Linked DNA regions of Caenorhabditis elegans. The protein of the gene in region 2 purifies or fractionates together with the protein of the main gene of each other region. This does not show direct contact. Each region holds a gene or a part of one and is shown on either strand. Other genes may lie near its edges. The genes, in order: gst-42, D1022.4, C37H5.13 and upp-1.

The links.
Region 1: the proteins of D1022.4 (region 2) and gst-42 fractionate together in Caenorhabditis elegans (co-fractionation; one large-scale study listed by BioGRID). This does not show direct contact.
Region 3: the proteins of D1022.4 (region 2) and C37H5.13 fractionate together in Caenorhabditis elegans (co-fractionation; one large-scale study listed by BioGRID). This does not show direct contact.
Region 4: the proteins of D1022.4 (region 2) and upp-1 fractionate together in Caenorhabditis elegans (co-fractionation; one large-scale study listed by BioGRID). This does not show direct contact.

Annotation. Positions count from the first base shown.
Region 1 is NC_003284.9:11,725,483-11,730,054, forward strand, and holds gst-42 (putative maleylacetoacetate isomerase), read right to left. Parts: upstream 2,455-4,572; 5' UTR 2,315-2,454; coding exon 2,248-2,314; intron 2,198-2,247; coding exon 2,133-2,197; intron 2,089-2,132; coding exon 1,915-2,088; intron 1,824-1,914; coding exon 1,743-1,823; intron 1,694-1,742; coding exon 1,557-1,693; intron 1,133-1,556; coding exon 1,012-1,132; 3' UTR 782-1,011; downstream 1-781. Other genes in the region: D1053.2 (Histone-lysine N-methyltransferase, H3 lysine-79 specific), read left to right, coding at 2,669-3,023, 3,078-3,184, 3,259-3,261; D1053.3 (Ras family protein), read right to left, coding at 4,381-4,513.
Region 2 is NC_003280.10:7,455,614-7,459,362, forward strand, and holds D1022.4 (Dienelactone hydrolase domain-containing protein), read right to left. Parts: upstream 1,680-3,749; 5' UTR 1,674-1,679; coding exon 1,597-1,673; intron 1,552-1,596; coding exon 1,455-1,551; intron 1,352-1,454; coding exon 794-1,351; 3' UTR 701-793; downstream 1-700. Other genes in the region: D1022.3 (Dienelactone hydrolase domain-containing protein), read right to left, coding at 1-344, 523-596; D1022.5 (Dienelactone hydrolase domain-containing protein), read right to left, coding at 2,054-2,151, 2,199-2,755, 3,117-3,193.
Region 3 is NC_003283.11:4,856,828-4,865,119, forward strand, and holds C37H5.13 (Acyl-coenzyme A thioesterase 8), read right to left. Parts: upstream 6,139-8,292; 5' UTR 5,905-6,138; coding exon 5,863-5,904; intron 3,698-5,862; coding exon 3,548-3,697; intron 2,627-3,547; coding exon 2,472-2,626; intron 2,356-2,471; coding exon of another isoform or gene 2,304-2,355; exon of another isoform or gene 2,286-2,303; intron 1,811-2,285; coding exon 1,540-1,810; intron 1,492-1,539; coding exon 1,309-1,491; intron 1,094-1,308; coding exon 888-1,093; intron 700-887; coding exon 462-699; 3' UTR 137-461; downstream 1-136. Other genes in the region: nex-4 (Annexin), read left to right, coding at 1-136.
Region 4 is NC_003281.10:7,640,274-7,645,186, reverse strand, and holds upp-1 (Uridine and thymidine phosphorylase), read left to right. Parts: upstream 1-2,085; 5' UTR 2,086-2,095; coding exon 2,096-2,233; intron 2,234-2,955; exon of another isoform or gene 2,956-3,039; intron 3,040-3,116; coding exon 3,117-3,260; intron 3,261-3,307; coding exon 3,308-3,823; intron 3,824-3,870; coding exon 3,871-3,960; 3' UTR 3,961-4,153; downstream 4,154-4,913. Other genes in the region: fbn-1 (EGF-like domain-containing protein), read right to left, coding at 4,631-4,885. UniProt on the Caenorhabditis elegans protein: Catalyzes the reversible phosphorylytic cleavage of uridine and thymidine to uracil and ribose-phosphate or thymine and deoxyribose-1-phosphate.

The DNA.
Region 1 (4,572 bases), on a different chromosome or scaffold from region 2:
TGCACACTTGAAATTTATTGTACAAATAATTTGTAACTTCACTTGACAAAATGATTCCAAAATAATTTGATGTTCAAATCAATAAATGTGTTGTGTTTTCTTTTATATATAGCATTTTTATCAGTGCAGGCGTAACTTAAAAATGCCTTGACAACGGGAGGTATACACTTTGACAAAGTTGTCAAACATCACCCTTTATTAAACCTAATTCGTCACTCTTTTCCTCTTGATTCTGGTTGCATAAAGACAAAAAAAGCAGAAAAGGAGCTGCGAAGAGCGAGCCAGAGATAGAGAAAATGAGAAAAGTTGGAAATTGAACTTTGCAGACCACACTGACAAAGAAAAGAGGGGGAGAATGCGGGAGGAGAAGAGTGAAAAAAACGGATACTTTGATGAATCGAAAGGCCGGCTTGTGTTGTGGGTGGCAACCAACTAGTACTATGACTATGCCAACCTCGCCCGTAAAAACACGTTCTCTTTGCACGGAAGTCTTCCGAAAGTTCTCTAAAAGTTTCCATGACACAACATTGCCGATTGGGTTTTCAGATGCTAATCCCCAGGGATTGAGTTTGGTCATGAAGAGGAGGACAAAAAAATGACTTTTGGAGGCTTCCGGTCTGCAACTGTTTAACTTGAATTTCGAAACATACTTCTAAATAGGTAAACATCAAAAATTCTGTCTTCAAAGCAGGACATTTTTTTTGAACGCAAAAAAGTTATCAGTGGAACTCGCATACTAAAAAATTTTCCATTGGATATTTCGTTTGAATAAAGTTCAAAATATTTTTAAGAAATTAATTTATTTGAAAAAAAAACACTCAGTATGAAAACGAGAAAAGTTAGTTTACAAAGTTAAAAAAAGCAACTTGCTTTAGGATATCGCGGACATTTTCTGTTGTAAATTTATTATTACTTTTGTGCTAATTTAAGAGACAAAGAAACATTTTTTTTTAATTCTCAAATAGTTAACTCTTGTATGTCCAATCCAATAACGCAATCATTCATAAGAATCTAAGCATTGAGTCCGGTATCTGGTTGATTATCAGGATGAGCGGCAATAAAGGCGGGGATATCAGCAAGAGTCTCATTGATACGATTCACTGTTGGGTATGGCGACAAATCGAGGTTGAATCTGAAATGACGGTTTGATTGCGATCGGAACGATTTGGAAGGGAGGTTATTCTGATGGTTATCTGTGAATCTCTCATGTCTCATCCTAAACGCTCATCGCTTCCAATTCATGTTTGTTGAATGACTAATACATTTTGTTTGAATCAGGAATCCGATAAAAAGGTTGTTGCCACACAAGTGGATGTTGTTTTCAATAGGAATGTGTTTTCGTTTAAATCACTTGCTAAGATGATTCAGTAACTGTCTATGAAAAATTGGTCAGTGTTGTTTGAGGGTAACCCAAAAGGTGTTCAAATTTTCGAGGTTTTGAATACGCAAAATGTCAAACTAATACATTGAAATTCTGGATAGATTACTAAAACATAATAAATTTTCTCAAAAAGTTATCTATGTCCAAAATTCCCTGACCCTCCCTATAATCATACCGGTTAGCTGAGTAGATAAGTGGCGGGATGGAGAGATCCGCAATCGTGACGTCATCTCCGACAGCATACTTCCCAGAATGTTGCTTTAGAAGAATTTCAAGAGCAGTGAGACCTTCGACAACAAACTGTTTGGCAAACTGAAATTTTAAAAATTGAAAACATACATTGAAGATTCTGAAATTAAACCTGTCCTCCGAATCCTGCTTCTTTTTTATTCAAAAGTTGAAGAACCTTCAAATTGTGAAGAGGTTGAATTCCAGAAGCAACCTGTAAACCTCAAAACATAATTGTTACAGTTTTTGTAAAACAATAGCAGTATAAAGTTAAGAAAAAAACCAACTAAATACGTAAAACTTACCAAAAGAGAAATAGCTCTAGCGTGAGCTCTCTTGATTGGATCTTTTGGCAAAAGTGGAACGTCTGGATGCGTTTCTTCCAAATACTCAATAATCGCAAGACTTTCAGTAATTACTTGACCATCCACAACAAATGTTGGTACTTTTGCAGCTGGGTTGATTTCTTTCAGTTTGCTCTAAATTTTAAAATAATTTAAAGAACCGCTTGATTTTCTCTTACCTTAGCCTCTTCGGACAGCAAGTCGACAGTTTTGTATTCGTAGTCCACGTTTTTCAAAGCAAGCGCTGAAAATAACATTTTTGCTAGTTAAAATTGATATAATTAAAATACCAACCGATGCGAACTCTCCATGAGCACGATGATCTCCAATAAGAATACAGAACTGGCTTTTGGTTGGACATGTCTACAAGCAGAAAATAATTTTGTAAATTCTCAGAAAGAATAACTGATGATAATGACTAGTTGAAAAATAAACAAAAAGGGTCAAAGACGGAATGATGTCGAACTAACTGATAAGATTGGACGGTGTATGTCGACGAAATGGTTTTGTTGTTGTATATTGCAGACGCAGAACACTAGAGATAGTGTAATTGTGCAGACACACGTGGTCTTCTACTATACATTACCAACATCATATGTAGACCAAGAGAGAAATGCAGATTCAAAAAACATTAGAAGGAATAAGAAGAAGTAGACAAAACTATGGTAAGCCTTGGGCGATGCCTTGAGAGAACAAGCAGCCCACGACTTTTTTTATGAGGCTGCTCCCAACTCTTGCCCAAGCTGTACCCAAGTCATTTTTTCAAAGACAATATAAAAATACACAGTGCACTTTGATGTGCTTAAATGAAATTGAGAGCATCCAGGAACTATTTTTCAATTTAAACGACGTTGAGACACGTTCATTAAAAGCATATCTGGTGGATCGTATTAATGAGATCCAGACCCAAGCCACGGTGATTGTGGTGAACAACGTTCGTTTTTCGCCGGAGCTCAAGTTGGAGCTGAAAGAGATCTTGTCGAAATGCATTGACGGAACGCGGATCATTTCATCAGAGTCGATTGTTCCACGTCCCCGTTCTCAAAGCTCGACTTCTCGTCGTATCGATGGTAAGTTGAAACTAGGTGTTAGGTACATCAAAATACTAATTATATCTTTTTCAGATTTTGTGAAAATCACGGACGAGCGTCTTCTTCATCTTGTGGAAAACAATACGTCTTGGACTGGTGACAAAGTTCCGTTTTATCTCACTGAGATCAACCGCAATAAGGTAAGTTCGTGAATATGAGAAATATTTGCGGTTATGGGTTAAAATCAGAACTAATATTAATTAACTTTTTACAGTGATCGTCGACGCCCTTTCTTCTTCCCAACTCCTCTCTCATCAACGTGTCTTCGTGCTCGGGTCAACTTCTGATTTTCCGGTGTATTTTCTATTTAAGATCTCCCCTTCACTCCCTATAGATCTTTCATCTCCTTTGTTTTCCCCTCAGTCTCTTCTCAGTGCGTCAATGTAGCACGTTTATGATTTAAAAAACCAACTTCTTGCAATCTGTACTATCACTCAAGTTGGTCCAATAAATTGTTGTTTTTAAATCAACCGTCCTATTTATAAAACGTTTCAAAATGTCCTTCCATGTTAGTCTGTCCGTTCTCTGCTGTCCTCGCAAGTCTCTGAATCCCTCGTCGTTGTGATCCTAAAATCCGTCATCGATTTGTCCATTGAGTATTCTCAAAAAAGTTCCCATCAACGACATTTCTATTTCTGACCTGAATCAGTCGAAACGCAAGAGAGGTAAAGATCAGTCGACTAGGGATTGGGATGAAGCTGGTTCTAAAAACTGGTCTTTTGATAATCTGTCATTTTTCAGTGATCAATCCTATGTCATCCGTCTGGCTGCTTCAACAATGTCTACGCTGTAACTTCACAGTATACAACAAACTCTTGAAAAAAGTATGTTCCATTAGGTTATTCATTAGTTGGTATTGAGCTTTTCTTCTAATTGGACTGTAAAGTAATATGCAAAAAGTGATTAATGGATTTTTTTAGTCTTGTAAAATATTAATACAGTGAACTACCGCGCAAAATTTTACACATTTCAAGCATCGAAATGCTATTTTCAAATTGTTTTTGAATCCCTCTTTTAGTTAAGATTTCATCCAAAAATGTAATAGTGGAGAAAATGTTTATTTACAAATTATTTATTCCAATCTCAAAAATTAATAAAACACAAATACACAAACTACTGTTATAAAATCCAATTATCATCAATATCACAAGTTCACTGGAAACATACATTTCAAAATTACCGGGAGGTTCGGGGAGCTGACTAGAACTGAAAAGTTCACCAAGAAAAGAAACATTAAAATTTAAGTACAGTTGTGTTTCAGTAATTTTTCCATAATACGAAACAATGCATTATCTATTCCCATTTGAGATCAAACGACATTCCATATTTCCTCACATTACATTATGATGCACACTTTTGAATCTTCAACTTTCTCTCCTTTTTCTTTTTTACCATTTTTCTTTTTCTCATTCACTGCCTCGAATATCATATTCTCTCCCGATTTGTCGGATGATTTCGATCGTAGAATGCTGCAAAAAAAAATGAATTTTGGTGTTTACCAGCTTGTTCGCAGAAGTGAACAATATTT
Region 2 (3,749 bases):
CATCAAATCTATAACGAGCACAATCCAGGGAACACAGTCCTCCAATACAGAATCCAAATGCACCGAGCTTCTGTTTATCTACACATGGAACAGATTTCAAGGCATTTAAAGCAGCTTCTAATCTTGGTTTCAACTTTCCATTTCTATCGCTAGTCATAGGACGGAGCAGTGTCACTGCCGATGAGATGTCTGTGCATCTAATTCCTTTTCCATAAATATCAGCAACAAGAGCTACATATCCATGTTCTTCAGCCAATAATTTTGCCCTTGCAATTTCCAGTTTGGACACTCCTCGGAATGCAGGGAAAATCAAAACGCCGGGATGTTTAGTAGAGTTATCGGAGCTGAAAACATTGAATTATAGTTTCAAACTTTTCAAAAATCTTAAAATATCAATTATCAATTATCACAGACATCGGATATAACTTGAAAACTCTTATTTGTTGAAATCAATTTAGATCTATTTTAGATATACATAGTGTTCAACGGTTTCATTTAACAAGTAAACAATCAAATAATAACCTTGGTTTATACAGCTCTCCTGAAAATAAATTGCCATCCGCATCTTCATAATCAATAGTTTGATGAATCGACATAGCTTTCAATTCGGAAAAAAGCTATGAAATCTGAACTTTAAAATTTATAGAATCAGAAAAAGTTCTGCAAAAAATGACAAAATGATCATAATAAATACTTTTATACATTTACTTATCATATTTATTTCAAACAGGTTTGTTACGACGGAGAGATAGAAAAGTCACAAAATTTTGTGATCGTAGTGTACAGTACAACATTAGAAGATTTCTTTGAACAAGTCGAGAGTTGCATTCCATGATCTTTTTGCAGCCTTCTCATTGTAACCAATTCCTGGTGCATTGAAACTGTCAGCTTCTGGCTCAGTGAAAGCATGAACTGCATTTGCATGCGATACAAAGACAAAATCAGCTTGACGAGTTCTCATTTCTTCATGAAATCCATCAACTTGATCTTTTGCAATATGGAAGTCTGCGTCTCCGTGATGAACATACACAGTTGTTCCAACAATTGGATCTAGAGCAATATCAGGAATTGGTTTCAAAGTTCCATGATAGGATACAACTCCTTTGAGTCCAGCATTGTATCTTGCCAAATCGAGAACACAAAGCCCACCGAAACAATATCCGATTGCTGCAATTTTTGAGGTGTCCACTTCAGAGAAAGTCTTCAAAGTATTGACAGCGGCAAAAAGTCTTGGTTTCAGTTTCTCAACGCGATTGGAAACAAGCGGTCCCATTGTTGCAAATGCATCTGCTCGTTCAGTTGGTCTCACACCTTTTCCATAGACATCAGCAACAAAAGCAACGAATCCAAGCTAAAATTTGGTCTTTTTTTTTAAATCAGCATATTCCTGAGAATGCAGCTGTTATAGTTTTCCTGATTTTGTAAAACCTACTAAATATAGACTTTAAAGTAACCTCGGCAATTTGTTGGCCTTTGTCCTTTTCGAAATGCGTAATTCCTCGGAAAGCTGGGAAAATCAGTACGGCGGGAACTTTTGACTGTTTTACATTCCTACAAAAATAAATAAAAAATGAAAATAAAAAATAAAAAACAAACTTTGGAATATAAAGAACTCCTTCAAAGTTATTACCTTCCTCATCAGAATAATCAATAAGTTTCGTGGTAACGGTCATCTCGAAAAGAAGAAAACTAACAAGAGTTATCTAAGACGGTCAATATATATGTATACCTTTTGGGGTTTGACGTTGTCTGCGTATCGTCTCTATTACCATTATAACTGCTATATTTATGACCTTTCGTTTTTTTCTCTCTGGGTCTCTACGTTTCATTAGTGCGTAGCAAACATAGTTTCGGGAAAGTTCACAAACCAAAAAGTTGTCACAAAAATGATCAATATAAACTACATCTCTATTAAGACTTTAAACTGTGTTCAAAGCCATAAAAACTGAGCCAAAATTTTGAAGTTATCTGAATCTGATTAAAAATAACAAATATTTTTCTTTCTCTTTCATGAAAATTTATATAAATTTAAATAATGCATATAATATGAGATTTAAAATATTTCTTTAAATAAAGCCAAAGCAGATGCCCATGATCGATCCGCAGCTTTTTTGTTATATTTAACTCCGGGAAGTCCGAAAGAATCAGCATCTGAAAAATAAAAATATATCGTAAAGTTATTCGTAAACTATTTCTACCTGGCTCTGTGAATCCATGTTCAGCATGTGCATGACTGGAAAACACAAAATCCGCATTTCGAGTTCTCATCTCCACGTGGAATCCATCGACTTGTTCTTTTGGAATATGAGCATCCGAATCTCCATGATGAACCTGGACAGCTGTTTCAATAATCTTATCAAGTGGAGCATCAGGTATTGGAGTCAGTGTGCCATGAAATGAAATGGCTGCTTTCAGTCCAACATTGTACCTGGCTAGATCAAGCGCACATAGGCCTCCAAAACAAAATCCAAGTGCTCCAATTTTATTAACATCTACACACTGAACAGCCTTTATGGCATCAAATGCCGCGACTATTACACACTTTAATAGTTTACTCCTCTCAATTATCATTGGGCGTACAATTGCAAAACATTCTGCTTTGTCTTTTGGATGAATTCCCTTTCCAAATGGATCAGCTGCCAATGCGATGTAGCCCTCCTGAGCAAGAGCCTTCGCTTTTTCTTTTTCAAATTCGGTGATTCCGCGGAATGCAGGGAACACAAGGACACCGGGAAGTTTTCTCATTCTAGTTGTTCTGGAATAAATAACAAGTTTGGTTTGATAATTAGTTAAACCAGTCTGATACTATGTTGATGTCAAATGTTACCATTCTAATCATCAATCAGATTTCGTATGCTAAGTAAATTTAATATTGCATAACATTTATCGAAAATTTACAACATAGATTCAAATTTTTAATTTGTTTAAAATCCCTAATTTCAATAAAGTTGAGGCAATCGTTTGTCACAAAAAAACACCACACAACAGAAAGTCAACAAATGCAAACCTATCCGACTGGTGGAAGGAAAAACAATCTAATCCGCACACACTTTTATTATTCATGCTAAAATTCAATCTTCCGGCAAAATTCACATAAACTTTAAATTTATACAAACCTTGGAACATAAAGATCTCCTTCGTACACTTTTCCATTGGAATCTGTGTATTGAAGTTGACTATGAGTAACAGACATCTTGCCTTCGCGACACCAATAAAACAACTTTCACTTTTGTTGTTTCAACTACTTTTATAAGAAATTTCCTGAATTTTGTGTTTCTCTAGGCTCTCCAAATCTCTCCGATGAGCACAAAATAAGGACACATTATTTTGTGACCAACTTCACCATACATCCAAAAACTGTCGTACGAGACGGTCGCATCACAAATCTTAAATACTGGAATAACAATTTATAACGATATAGTCACAAAATTAGATATGAAATTAGCATTGTCCCTGACATGTAAATGTTACTCTGACAGTTCTGACAGTTCTGAGGTAGTTGTCTCTACACGCTCTGCATAATGAAACCACAGAAATCATGTTATTGTTTGGAGAAATTGTTGGCACAAATGGATTTGCATTTATTAGAGATTTTCCAGTCTATTTTTGTAAAGATATTCATTTTAATTTTATATTTATTTGAAAAAAAAACCAGCTTTGAATTTTTTTAAAAATTTGTTAGAAAACTATGCGTCTGGCTTTTATTCAGATCTTTTATGAGTGTTTCAATGAGGTTCTCTTAAGCCATA
Region 3 (8,292 bases), on a different chromosome or scaffold from region 2:
ATATCAACGCCCTCTGGAGCACGACATTTGCCAATCAACTTCTGGGGAATATACCCGAATGATTTGCACACTTCTCAGCGGATTCAACAATTTGGAGAACAGTTTTGCGCCGACACCAGAATCAATTGAAGAATAATTTTCATTTTGTACATATTTATCAATTTCTTCCTCATCTAATCAAATTACAAATCAACACATACCCTCATGCCCGCTGACCTAAAAATTTCAAACTTATCTCTTTAATTTCTCACATTTCTTAAATGTATCAAAACTGTACTGAAAAAATACAAACAAAAAAAAACTAAAAAAACTTTTTTTTTTAAAAAAGAAAGAGATCATTCAAAAGAAAAACTTAAAACTACACTTAACACTACACGAATGTCCGTTTATATTTTTGATCGAAGTTTCAAAAAAAAAGATGTACAATAAATAAATGAAGATTCCAAGTTTCATTATTACTATTATTTGGCAGGAGACGCATTTGGACGATTCTTAGCGGTTCGGATCAGCGCTTCTTGTGTGGTCGAGAACACCAAACGTCCGTCTCTGGTCCACAGCTTTCCTTCAATAAGACTACGTCCGCCACCGGCAATCGTTGAGTGATTCTCATAGAGCATCCAGTCGTCGACACGGAAGTTGTCAGTGTGCATCCAAATCGAGTGGTCAAGAGTGAGAGCCATTGATGGGATGAAGCCGCGTCTGGAAGGAGATGATAAATGTATGTGGAATAAATGATTGGATCCTTAATTGGTGGTCAAACTTATAAACCATTAGCTGCAGATATCAAAGTACCCCTACTCCAAAAGTCAAAAACTCATTTCTCCCCAAACTACAGTACTACTACAGTACCCCTACTGTACTTAAACATTTAACAATATCAAACCTACTTCGAATGAGGTCTCAATGCAGTTTCAATCATCGTTGCATCCGAAATGTATGCAGCAGCAGCCAAGTGAAGTCGTGGATCATCCCCAATGTTCTCGTTTGCTTTAATCCAGACGTACGATCGGTAGGCATCAGTTGGATGGCCATGTCCAGCCGTATGATCGTCTTTTTTCAGACAAAGGTATGAGTCAATGTCGACTGGGCGGAACTGAAAATGTTTTAGTTGACAAGATTAAACTACTGTATTTTCACTGTCAAGATTGTACTTTGGAAATTCTTGTTCAAGCTGTTTAAGCTGAGTATCGTAAATTTGGGAAAACACGCTGTTTTCTGAGTGGGTCTCGCCACGATCTCATAGTCAGTTATAGCAGATTCTACAGGTTCCAAATTTTGCAAATATGCTCATTCGATGCACTCACTAACCGAAAAGATTCTGAAGAATGCGGGTGGAATTTCCTTTTGCTTGAATCCAATCATCGCAAGTGCAGCTGGAGGAATGTTAGCATTCTTCTTGATTCTCTCAAAAGTGTCCGAAAGATCCTCGAGACTATCTGGAGCCGGAACCTCGGGCATTGGCAACTGGTGGACAATGGAATCCGCTTCTGGCTGAAACGAAAATTTATTAATCATGGAAACTCATAAAATTACTCTCACTCTATGAAACGAGATTTGTACTGTGAAGATGGCTTCACCATCTTGCAGAGCCTTCACCAATCTAGTGCAGAAGCTCTTTCCGTCTCTGATGCGGTCAACTTGGTATAGAATCGGGCGTTCCACGTTGCCACTTTGAACAAAGTAGCTGTGAAGACTGTTTGGAACGAAGCCGACTTCGACGGTGGCGGTGGCGGCCGAGAGAGCTTGTCCGATGACCTGTCCTCCGTAAACAACTGGCAAAGAGTTTCGGCCTTTGAGCAAGTGACGAGCCCTGAATTTAGAGGATTATTGAAAAATTAGAAACCGAAAATTGGGTGAAACCCGACGTTTTCGACTGTACTCAGGAAAATTCTGAATCCGGTTGCTCAAGACACAGGAATTCAGTAGGCAATTACAAAACTCCGATAGGCACCTATAAATAAACATACAGCAGGCAGGTAGGCTGGCGGGGAGGCACGTAGGTAGGGGAACATAGGGTAATGTGCGGGCGAGTAGCGGGCAACTGATTCAACGAGCTAGGCCTGTGAAAAGACCCGTCGCAAAACAGAGGCTCGTCCTCTAGGGAGCCTCTGTCTACTAGCGTCCCCGACTGATATTTCGGGACACGGTTATGAAATTCACTACCAGCTCAAAAACAAGTCAATAACATTTTTTGGGTCAAAACATCAGAAGCTTTGGCGGGACGACCCGCGCGGCCCTTTCCACAGACCTACAACGCAAAAACCTAACCGTATTGGATTAATCACCAAAAAAAGAACCGGACGTCAGCTTTGCCAGCCGTAGAAAAATTCCTCGATTGTCGGGGGGAAATAAGTTCTGAATTATTTCCCATCCAACAAATACAAAAAATAATTTAGATTTTCAGGTTCATACGTTTTCCCGCACCAAAAATTTATCAGATACACAGAAAATATCAGCAAAAAAAAACTCACAAATACAAGTTCTTGTCCACTCTTTCCAGATTCAAAAACGTGTCGATAAGCCCGGCACGAATGTCATCGGCACGGGACGTCATGTCAATGTGGGTGACGTTGAGAAGCATCGGATAGTGTTGAACACCGTTCTGATCGTCAATTTCCATTGAGCGCTGCAATGAGTGAAATTTGGATTTGTGGGGAAGATTGAAGAGTTGGAATAAGCGACAACGTGGCTTGCGTGAAGCATGGTTATTACAGGTTTTCACGATAAAATTATTTAAAAACCCTTAAAAAATTCCTTTGAGAAACATGAAAAATCAAAAAAAAAAGGTGGCTGCTTTAATTTTTGGAACTGAAGTTGTGCCAGTAGGGCCATAGTTAAAATCATTTCTATACTGCTAAAATTATTTTAAAAAAGCTTAGTAAAACTATTCTAAAATTTTCAGAAATAATTTTTTTCCAGTTAAAAAGGGGCTTAGCGCTACAAGTAATTTTGAAAGTAGATCAAAAATTTTTTTTTCAAATTTATGTTTTTATCAATGTTTTTAAAAACCTTTTTCAACAAGTTAAGGGTATCGTCAGTGATGTTTAAATTTTATAAAACACTTGTTATTGTTATAAAATACCATATATCACACTTAAACACTCCGCACAGTTTCAAAATTATGTTTTCAAAATTGTCAGTCAAAATTTTGGTAAGTTGCCAAATCTACCAAAAAAGTAGATTATCAAGTAATTTTATTCTTAGCGTTGATGCACGTTTAAACTTCAACAATGTTTCAAATCAACTGTTCAAACTTTACAATTTTACAATACAAATTTTAAGTTAGAACAACTTTCTGGTCGACTTTCAAAATTATGAAGTTTCCACCACTCAATAAAATTTCGAAAAATTTTAACTATAATATTTGGCACTTTTCAATAGACAATTCTAATAAAAGCAAGTCCTAATTTCAAAAATGTAGCTTACGGTCAAAGAATTCTAAAAAAAGAAGAAGGAAAATTGTTTCAAAATACTCAAAATGTACTTTAATTGAAAATAACTACTCTGCGCTCTACAATCTATGAAACTTGAAAGGCTATAGACTCACCGAGGGGGCCGAGCTGACGTGCTGTGGTCTGTGCGCAAAATGGCTCTGCACGACTGGAGCAGTGTTTGCGTGAGTTGAGGAAGGAGATGACATACCGTTGCCCGTTGTCAAGCTTTCCAAACGTTTCTGTTCGATGAACCGACGTGCAGTCTGGAAGAAAAATGGAATTTGTTTTTTTTTTCGGAAAATACTTGACATAAAAACGAACACAAACGCACAAGGGGAACAAAAAACATTGAAATTTCTTCCTCCACCGCTTGAAGGGCCTGAAGGGAAAAAGAGTGTGGAGAGGAATTGAGGAAGGACGATGTGAGAGTGAAGAGACGCAGACAAGAAAAGACGGGGAGAAGAAGGCTCGACACGGATTAACATGAAGGACAAGCAAATGTGGGGTGAGGATAGGATGACTAGAAGGAAACAGAGACGACGGAAACTTTTGATTTGGGATTTGGAAATGAATTGGATAAAGATTAGGATTCGGATGATCAAGGCTCGATAGAAATTTACCGGAAATTTGCACAAAGTGGTGAGAAATTGGAAAATGGTTCCCCGATTGAAATCTCAATTCTAAAAATTCACACCGAAAAATTTATATTCATATATAGAACCTAAAAAATTGTCAAATTATTTTAAAATTGCTGATTGTTATGATAAAATACTCCTAAAATTTTCAGACACCGTTTGGGTAATTTTGCAAATTTTGTGTTAATGTTCGAACTGCACAATGCTTTATACAAGTATTCAAAGTATTTAAAAATTAAATTTAATATCCGTAGAAAACTTTTTCACTGTAAGTTTAAAAAAACGAAAGTTTTTGTGAAAACATTTTAGTAACAAAAGAATTTTCTTTTAAAATTTTTTAGCTAACTGTATTCTAATTTTAATTAAATAAATATAGTTTTTAAAAGAATTTATTGATTAGCTACATTGGAAAATCTGCATAAAAAACCCCAAATTTTCAAAAGTAAATTTCAATAACTTTTCTTCAAAAATATCTACAATTCTAGCATTTTTGCTTCTCTAAATCATAAATATTCTTTTTTTTTGAAATAATGAACACGTTGACACGAATTCTCATTTTAAATTTTACAAGCTAAAGAAAAAAATTCAGTTCTCGTTAAATTTTCGGTTCTAGACTACTCTTTTGACTGTTGTTTTTCTGTTGTTTTAAAATGATCAGAAAATCTTGCAGCAACAAAATCAAAACACAAAGTTCTGAACAAAAGATCACATATCACATTCGTGAGAAATGCAACATATTGACATTTCTATAAAACAATATAACTGGTACGTATGCAAATGTTTGACATGAAATATTGTTTTTACGATGCGCTGTTCAGGGAATTTGGCAGAAATCGTGTGATTTGTTGCAAAACATAAAATATATGACGGTATTTGATTTTAAAAATTATGAAATTTTTTAAACGATATTAAAAGGGATTTCAAAAACTCCAAAGTTAAAAAGTACTGAAGAAGATCTCTAAATTTAGTTTTAAAAATAAAAAAAACAAAGAAGAGAATAACTCTGCTAGAAAATCTGCCAGCAAACAGAGGAGCCAACTCTACGAACAAATGTTCAGTCTGCAAGCTGGGGGGGGGGGGGGGACACGCTCCGATGAGCAAAAGGGAATCAGAAGTGTATCTGGCTAGGCGTTAATTAAATTGGAAAAAGAGGAAAAGGAGAGACAATCTGTCACGCCATACTAGACAAAATAATGGGAATCAATAGAGCAGATAGACGAAGGAAACCAGGAGGAAGTGAAAGAAAAATTTTGTTGGGAAACCAAACATTTAATTTGGTTGCACACATTCTATTTGAATTCAACTTAACATTCAAAAAAATTCGCATTGAAAGTTATACAAAATGATTTCAAGTATACCTATGCTACACAATTTTTTTTGCAAGTGTGAAATCTATAGAGTTTGAGCAAAATTACTCAGAAACGAGAGTTTAAAGGCGCTCACTTTCTGGCATCAAATAAAATTGTCGTGGTGAGCCCGGCTACCGTATTTTTTTGCGCAAAAATCGCAAAAAAAAACGCGATCGGGCAACTACACAAAACATGGAATTGCAAAAAAAAACATTTCGACTAAGAATTGTGTTTTAATTCCAAGATTTGATAAGAAGAAAGTGCACGTTAATTCTGCAAATCAGAAAATCTAATTTTCATTTTATTTATTAATAAGTTTTATTGGATTAAACTGAGGAAATGAAGATTAACATCTTTGCTAATCATTTATTTCCAATTAAATTCCCGATCAAAAGTTATTTCTAGTATTAAAAAAATTGCTCAAATTTCAAAAGAAAAACTCACCGATTTTACAAAATGACGAGCTGTCCTGCATCCGACTAGCATCTTCTATTGTTCCACAAAAATTCGAAAGAGCAACAAAAACTCGTCTTTTCTCTCCCAGTAAATATTAGAAATGAAATAAAAGATGATATTAGCTTTTCTTTAAAAATACGAGTTCTTAAGTGAGGGCCCGCTGAGATTGAGAGATCTCTAAAAACGTGGAGGTTTAGACGTAAAAGTGTTTGTTTGGTAGCGAACGACTGACCGATGAGACCAGTGACTACACGTTATGTGTGTAGTCGAAACGATAGAAATGACGCAATTTTAGAGAACAACTACACGCTGGTGACTTGTCTAGGAGGAATTTTTTTTTGCAGACCGAGAGTGTTTCAAAAGATGAAATATTGATTTTGAGTTTAAAATTCAGTGCAGCTAGGCTAAACAGTGTTGTCAGAAATTATTCATTTAGAACATAAAAACTTTCACTGTAAATTTATAAAATGGTTACAATTTTCATTGGAGTAAATCTAGGTTGATTTACCGCAATTTCGAAGTTAAAAAGGAAAGAGGTAAAATTTTTGACTGGCAAAGAAAAAAAAGGTATCAGGCGCGTGCGGTAAATGTAGACCTGCCGAATTTGTAGAGTTTGGCAAATTTGCCGGATTTGCCGAGCTCGGAAAATTTTGAGGTTTGCCGCACGTCTCTACTAGGTACAGGCCACCGGAAAGTGTATGCGTTTTCGGTTTCCCGGTGATTTGCCAACAGTTTTGAATGAGTATAACTCTGAAACTAAAAACTTCGGCAAACATTTTTATTATTATACTTTTTCTACTCACTGTTTCTGAGAGATTATACTTTCACATTAAAATGAAACCTATGGCATTCGAAGAAAAATTCTTTAAACATGACTCTAAATAAAATTCAGCTGCATATGAGCACTTGAAACTAGGAAAAAATTAAACCTGAAATCGTGTTTCACTACTTTTGAGATTTAAAATAAATTACTAACTCAAGTTTTTTACGAACATGTCTACAATCAAGATTAAGAAAACTTCTTTGAAATATTTTTAAAAATTATTTCAAAGTACTGATCTACAAAGTTTCAGATGAACTTACTTAAAAGGATTTCATTCTTTAAGTATAGAAAATGAAAATTCAAAGATATTTACCATCTCTGAAACCCACTTATTTTTGTGGATTTTGTTCCAATGAGAAGCAAATACCACATATCAAACAATTTTTAATTTTTAGAATAAAATATATATTTAAACAATTAATAAAGATTCCTAGAGAAAAAAGTACTTTCGTTGAAAATCACAGCTTTGTTGTTGGAAAATCAGACGATTGAGGAAAAAAGAAGAGTTTTTGAAAGGCAAATAAAAATTCGTCATTTATTTTTGCAGAGAGTTTGTTTGCGCCCGAGAATGAACTTAAAGTGCTATCTGAGAAAAATATCGAACACTTTGAAAATTTTGCGGAAAGTGTTTCAAGATTTTCGATCAAAGTATCGAGGTGGAAATAAATTTCCTTCAAATGTTTTCCTCCAGTTTTAAAAATATGATGAAAATCTGGTGATAAATATTGCAGAGGAAATTCTTGAACCCAAATGTACCTAATAAAAATGAGAATGAGAAATTCAACAGAAGACTAGACTGGCTACAATGTAGCCTATGAAATTCAATTTCAATATTTTCTTCCGCTTCATTTGTTAATTTCAGTGTTTTTCAGCCATAACAAGTCGGAAACCCGGGGAATTGAAATTCTATTGAATACGTAAGCGTTAATAAAAACTTTCAGATGGAAGAGAAAACCGGAAATTAGTTAGGACTTTTAATCTTGACATGTGTTCTGAATCAGTGTCAGGAGGGGCAGAAAAAGTAGATCCGGAAAATCAATGGGATACCAATCATAGGGAATTGAACACAAATTGCAGATTTTATACAATATGTGCACGGCTTTATATTAAAAAAAAATTTAGGTTAATTATAATTATAGGCCTATAGGCTCCTCCAAAATCTTGGCTGTTTTGGAAAATTACATCAAATTTTCTAATACTTGATGGCCGGATTGAATAATATGTTTAATATGTTTAATATGTTTTATTCTATCATCTATTACATAGGAAGAAAATATTTTGAAATTTGAAACCGTGCAAACTGAGAATTTCGTAATTAGCTCCGTTTTGTGACACTAGGGCTCTTTGGGAAAGTCAGAAGGCCGTGTCAGGCTAAGACTTTTATGACAACATAGTTCTTCTTAATTTTTACTTTCGAAAAAGTGTTATTCTGGTTTAGATTCACCTCATATTTCAAATTAACTAAATAGTATGATAAAACACTCCAAAAATTTTCAGATTTTTCAAAATTTTCTGTCAAAGTTTTTTTTGGTAAATTGTCAAGTTTTCAAACAATTTGGATTTTTTAAAGAAATTTCGAGAATTGCTACAGAAGT
Region 4 (4,913 bases), on a different chromosome or scaffold from region 2:
CCCTTCATATTTTCAATTCGCCCTGATTTGATCTTCTCACCTTGAAACTTTCTGGTCTATAATCTATGGGTAAGTCATGACAAAATTGGCGACTAAGTTCTATCAGTAGAGTTGCATTCGAATGTAATTATTTCATTTTCCGAATTCTCTATTTAAAATCAAGACGTCGCAAAATGATGTGCACCTCTAAGAAATACAGTAACCCATGTCCTGTTTGTTTGCAATTTCTTCAATTTTTTTCCAGAAGGACATTTAGAAGAAAACAACTAGTTTTCAGCAAAAAAGGATATAAAATTAATTTTCAAAAACTTTATTTTTAGCATTTTGATGAGATTGCAAATTTAAAATTGAATCTTTTGAAATTATCAACGTTTCTTTTTGAATTCTAACAATAATATGTTGGCAGTCAAAATTTGAAAATTTGAGAACGATGCTCAATAAATTTTTGTTCAGGTTTCAAAAAACTGGAAGAAGCCAGCTTTGAAAGAAATGACGAGTTGGAAACTACAGTACCCATAAAAACGAAAAATCTTTCGCATTTGAAACTCATGCCCTTTTTCGGCAACTCGGCAACCGATTTTTGTGACGTTGTGAGACTACTGTAGACCGAATTTCCAAATATTCAGTGTCACTTAAAAATCATGATAACAATTGATAAGATCACCCCTCATAACTGTGTCCCGTTGACTTTATCATTTCCGTCTTTTTTCGTCATCTTCTTGCGCCACGTGCTGTCTCTTTCGCAGAATCATTGTTATAATCTCGCCATCTTTCATGATTGAAATTTATTGTCAATGTGTTCAGGAACTAGCCTTTTATTTACGATGACAAATAGATGAAACACTGGGGACACTAAAAGCGTAGTTTTGAACAATCAACACCATAAAACTATAAATGAACAAAGTTGGCAGCAAGAATTATCAGCATTATCAGGAGAAAGAACTTTTTGTGCAGATAAGAAACAATTGAACGCGGAGATCAGAATGACATGATTATTATTATCTGTATTCTTACCGCAAACTTTTAAAATAATAATTGAAACAAAAAAGATTCTCGCAAAATTGTAATATTCAAAGTTCGCGCGTTTTTATCTGTCTGCATGTCGACGTGTCGGTGTTTGCACACTTACGCTACATCTTACGACAGGTGTTTTCAAACTCTCGCGAATTTATTTTTTTCCTTCGAAATCATCGAATTTCTTCCATTTAAGTCTAAAAACTTCATATTTTCAGTAAGATAATTCATTACTATTAATATCCAAAGTTTATATCATGTGGTGCTTGAACAAACTGCTGGTGCGAAAAGTTTAAATCAAATAAAAGCAAATCCTTCGTTGAAAACAATCGGAGATTTTCGATTTTCCACGTGGAAACTGTTCTAAACTGCGTCACCATCGTTTTGTTTGTCTTTATTGTCTCAGAAAGTTCAGTTCCTGTTGACTTTTTTACTCAAATTTCAAAACTTTGTCCTTTTACTCAATTTTTCTGACTTGTCGAAGCTTCTTCACAGAAACTGTTTGTTACATCACCACGCTTTCTTTTTTCCGCAAAATAATTTTTCTTTCCATCTATTTCCAATCGTTCCGCCCATTTTCTCGACGAAAACAAAAAAAAAGATAGATAAAAAGGGAGGAGTTTCGAGGTTACTTGCTTTACGGAATAAAAGTTTCATTTTCTCAATATTTTCATTTGGAAATTTGTGAGTTCTTTTTCGTCTTTATATATTAGAGTGATTTTGCTTATTTCAGATTGAAAAATAATTGTTTCACTTTTCTTTTAAATTTCAATTTTTCTCTGAGGTGTACTAAAAGTCTTGGTAGCAAAGGTAGAATCTCGTTTTTCTCGTTTTTATTATTTATCACGTAGCCTGGAGCTCACGAGTTGTCCAAATTGGATTTGAGTCCTTTTTAAGCATCTCTAACCGTCTACTCTCTCTGCTCTCTCCTCGTCTCTTTTGGAGTGCCCTTTTCTTATTCTATGTGATACTGACGACATTTAGCACGCGTATTCTGGTTCCTGTTTTTGTTTTGCTCTCTTTTATTCATGAAGTTTTTTTTTTCATTCCTATAAGTTGGAATTTTTTCAGATCCATCAAGATGAACGGACTTGTCAAGAACGGAAATGTGGAGAAGCCAAACAAGTACTTCGATATCAAGGATAAAAGAGATTTTCTTTATCACTTTGGTTTTGGAGTCGACACTCTCGATATTCCAGCAGTTTTTGGAGATACCAAGGTTGGTTCTACAAAGTCTAGAAAAAATTGAATAAGTGAAAAAGTTCCCTCATTAGTTTTAATATTAGTTCACTCCTAATCTTCGAGAAATGTTCCACTTTAAAAATCGTTTACTATATATAAAGCGCGTGTCCTTCTGTCCCTATGTAGTTTGATCTCTGATCAGAGCAACGAAATTTTGGGAAACCTTATGCTAAGTGCGCAGCAGGCATCGATCGAGGTCCGCGATAGACACCGTATATCTAATGTGTTTTCTCAAAGAAGTCGGGGGCCGCGCCGTAGGTGCGGTCCACGGCTGGTGATTCATAATGTTCCAAAAAATATGAGAAATAATCCATTTATGTCTTCACTTCCCAGGTAGAATGATGCAACAGTTTTCTCTATTCATACATATCGATCAACAGAACAAACACAAAAATATATTCATTCATTTGGCGCTTTTATTTCTTCAATTTTTTGACCCGTTAGTTGTCATGCGAGTTTTCTTCTTTTTGAATTATAAATTTGCATAGCCACGCGCCTCCTGGTGTCCAATTTCAATAGAGGGTAAATATAATTTGAATCGATACCAACACAAAACGAATCTAGAATTTTCAAGAGCTACATATTCCTCACTGATAAGTTTATCTCTCTCCTAGGGCGGGTAATACTTCTAGCCAATTGTTACACAAGCGCCCTTCGTGTCATAGGAATGTCTATGTCTTTACTGCACGTGTCAAACACGCTCCGTTGTGGTCTAGTGGTTAGGATTTATGGCTCTCACTCATAAGGCCGGGGTTCGATTCCCCGCAACGGAAGATTTTTTTTGTTTTTATAGGTGTTGTGTGCCGAAATTGAATCATTTTAGTGAATAATAATTTGCACTATCATTAAGTTAATTTCAGTTCGTCTGCACTGGAGGATCTCCAGGACGTTTCAAGTTGTATGCTGAATGGTTTGCCAAAGAGGCCAATATTCCATGCTCTGAAAATCTCTCACGGTCTGACCGTTTCGTGATTTACAAAACTGGACCAGTTTGCTGGATCAACGTATGTTATTTTGAGGCGACAATTATTTGACAAAAATAAATTTACAGCATGGAATGGGAACCCCATCTTTGAGCATCATGCTCGTCGAATCTTTCAAGTTGATGCACCATGCTGGTGTTAAGAACCCAACTTTCATTCGTCTTGGAACATCTGGAGGAGTCGGTGTTCCACCAGGAACTGTTGTTGTGTCAACTGAAGCCATGAATGCTGAGCTTGGAGATACCTATGTGCAAATCATCGCAGGAAAAAGAATTGAGCGGCCTACTCAACTCGATGCCGCACTCCGCGAGGCTCTTTGCGAAGTCGGAAAAGAGAAAAGCATTCCAGTTGAAACTGGAAAAACCATGTGCGCCGACGATTTCTATGAGGGACAGATGCGTCTTGATGGATACTTTTGCGATTACGAAGAAGAAGACAAGTATGCTTTCTTGCGGAAGCTAAATGCTCTTGGAGTACGAAATATTGAGATGGAGTCAACTTGCTTCGCCAGCTTCACGTGTCGCGCTGGATTCCAGTCTGCTATTGTCTGCGTCACTCTTTTGAATCGTATGGATGGAGATCAGGTAATATTTTGATTCTTATTGACAGTCTTCAATTATAACATTTATAGGTTCAAATCGCCAAAGAGCAATATATTGAATACGAGGAACGTCCATTCCGCCTTGTAACTGCCTACATTCGCAAGCAGACCGGGATCTAATAATCTTAAAATCAAGATTCTCAACTAATTGCTTTCCATGTTTCCTTACCACACGAATAGTATTCATATATTTTCTCTAATGCACCCCTCTCTAACTAACCCTTCTCTTCTAGAATAATGTGATTCTGTTTGGTTTCATTTCAGTCGAAATATGAAAGAAAGTTTATGTAAATAAATAAAGGTTTTGATTTTCTTTCTTTAAAAAAATTATCTTGATAATTTATGGAAGACATGTTGAAGAACTTTACAGAAAAAAAATCACAGAAAAAAACACGCAAAAACAAGGGTTTTTTGGAAAGGCACAAATTAAAAGAAAATTGAGAAAAATTGGAAAACGAGGCACACGTAATGGTAGAGAAAAGCTGTAGAGATGTGATAAATACGATAATTAAATAAAAAGTTTAGAAAATTAGAAATTATCAAATAAAATTTTAAAACAAAAGAGAAAATTCTGTTTGGTTTCGATCAAAACCCTGAGCAATTTGTTAGTGTTGTCGGAGATTTCAGAGAAGTTTTGGGGGATTTAAAGAATAAAAAAGTAGGTAAATAAAATAACAAAAATATTGGAATGTAACAAGTATGTAGCAAGTGATTGAAGATTTCTTATCAGTGCAGTGATAAGAAAATACGAAAATATGAATTACCAAAACAATATTTTGAAACAATCAATCTAGAATCTCAGTTCTGATTCCAGATCAATTGTTTTTGGTTTCTTAGAGCACAAGTACAGTAATATCGCTGAGCAAACTGCAAATGAGCCCAATGCGATGAGTAGTGGAGCCATTTTCACACAAATCGATTTTGATTCCTTTGACGTGGCATCCACATGGGATGATGTGACGTCATCGTCATCAGATGTATTCATATCATGAGAATCATGGACATTGATGATAGATGAAACTGCTAGGGATTCAACTCCGGACATCTGGAAAATGTGTTTTTAGAAGAAATGT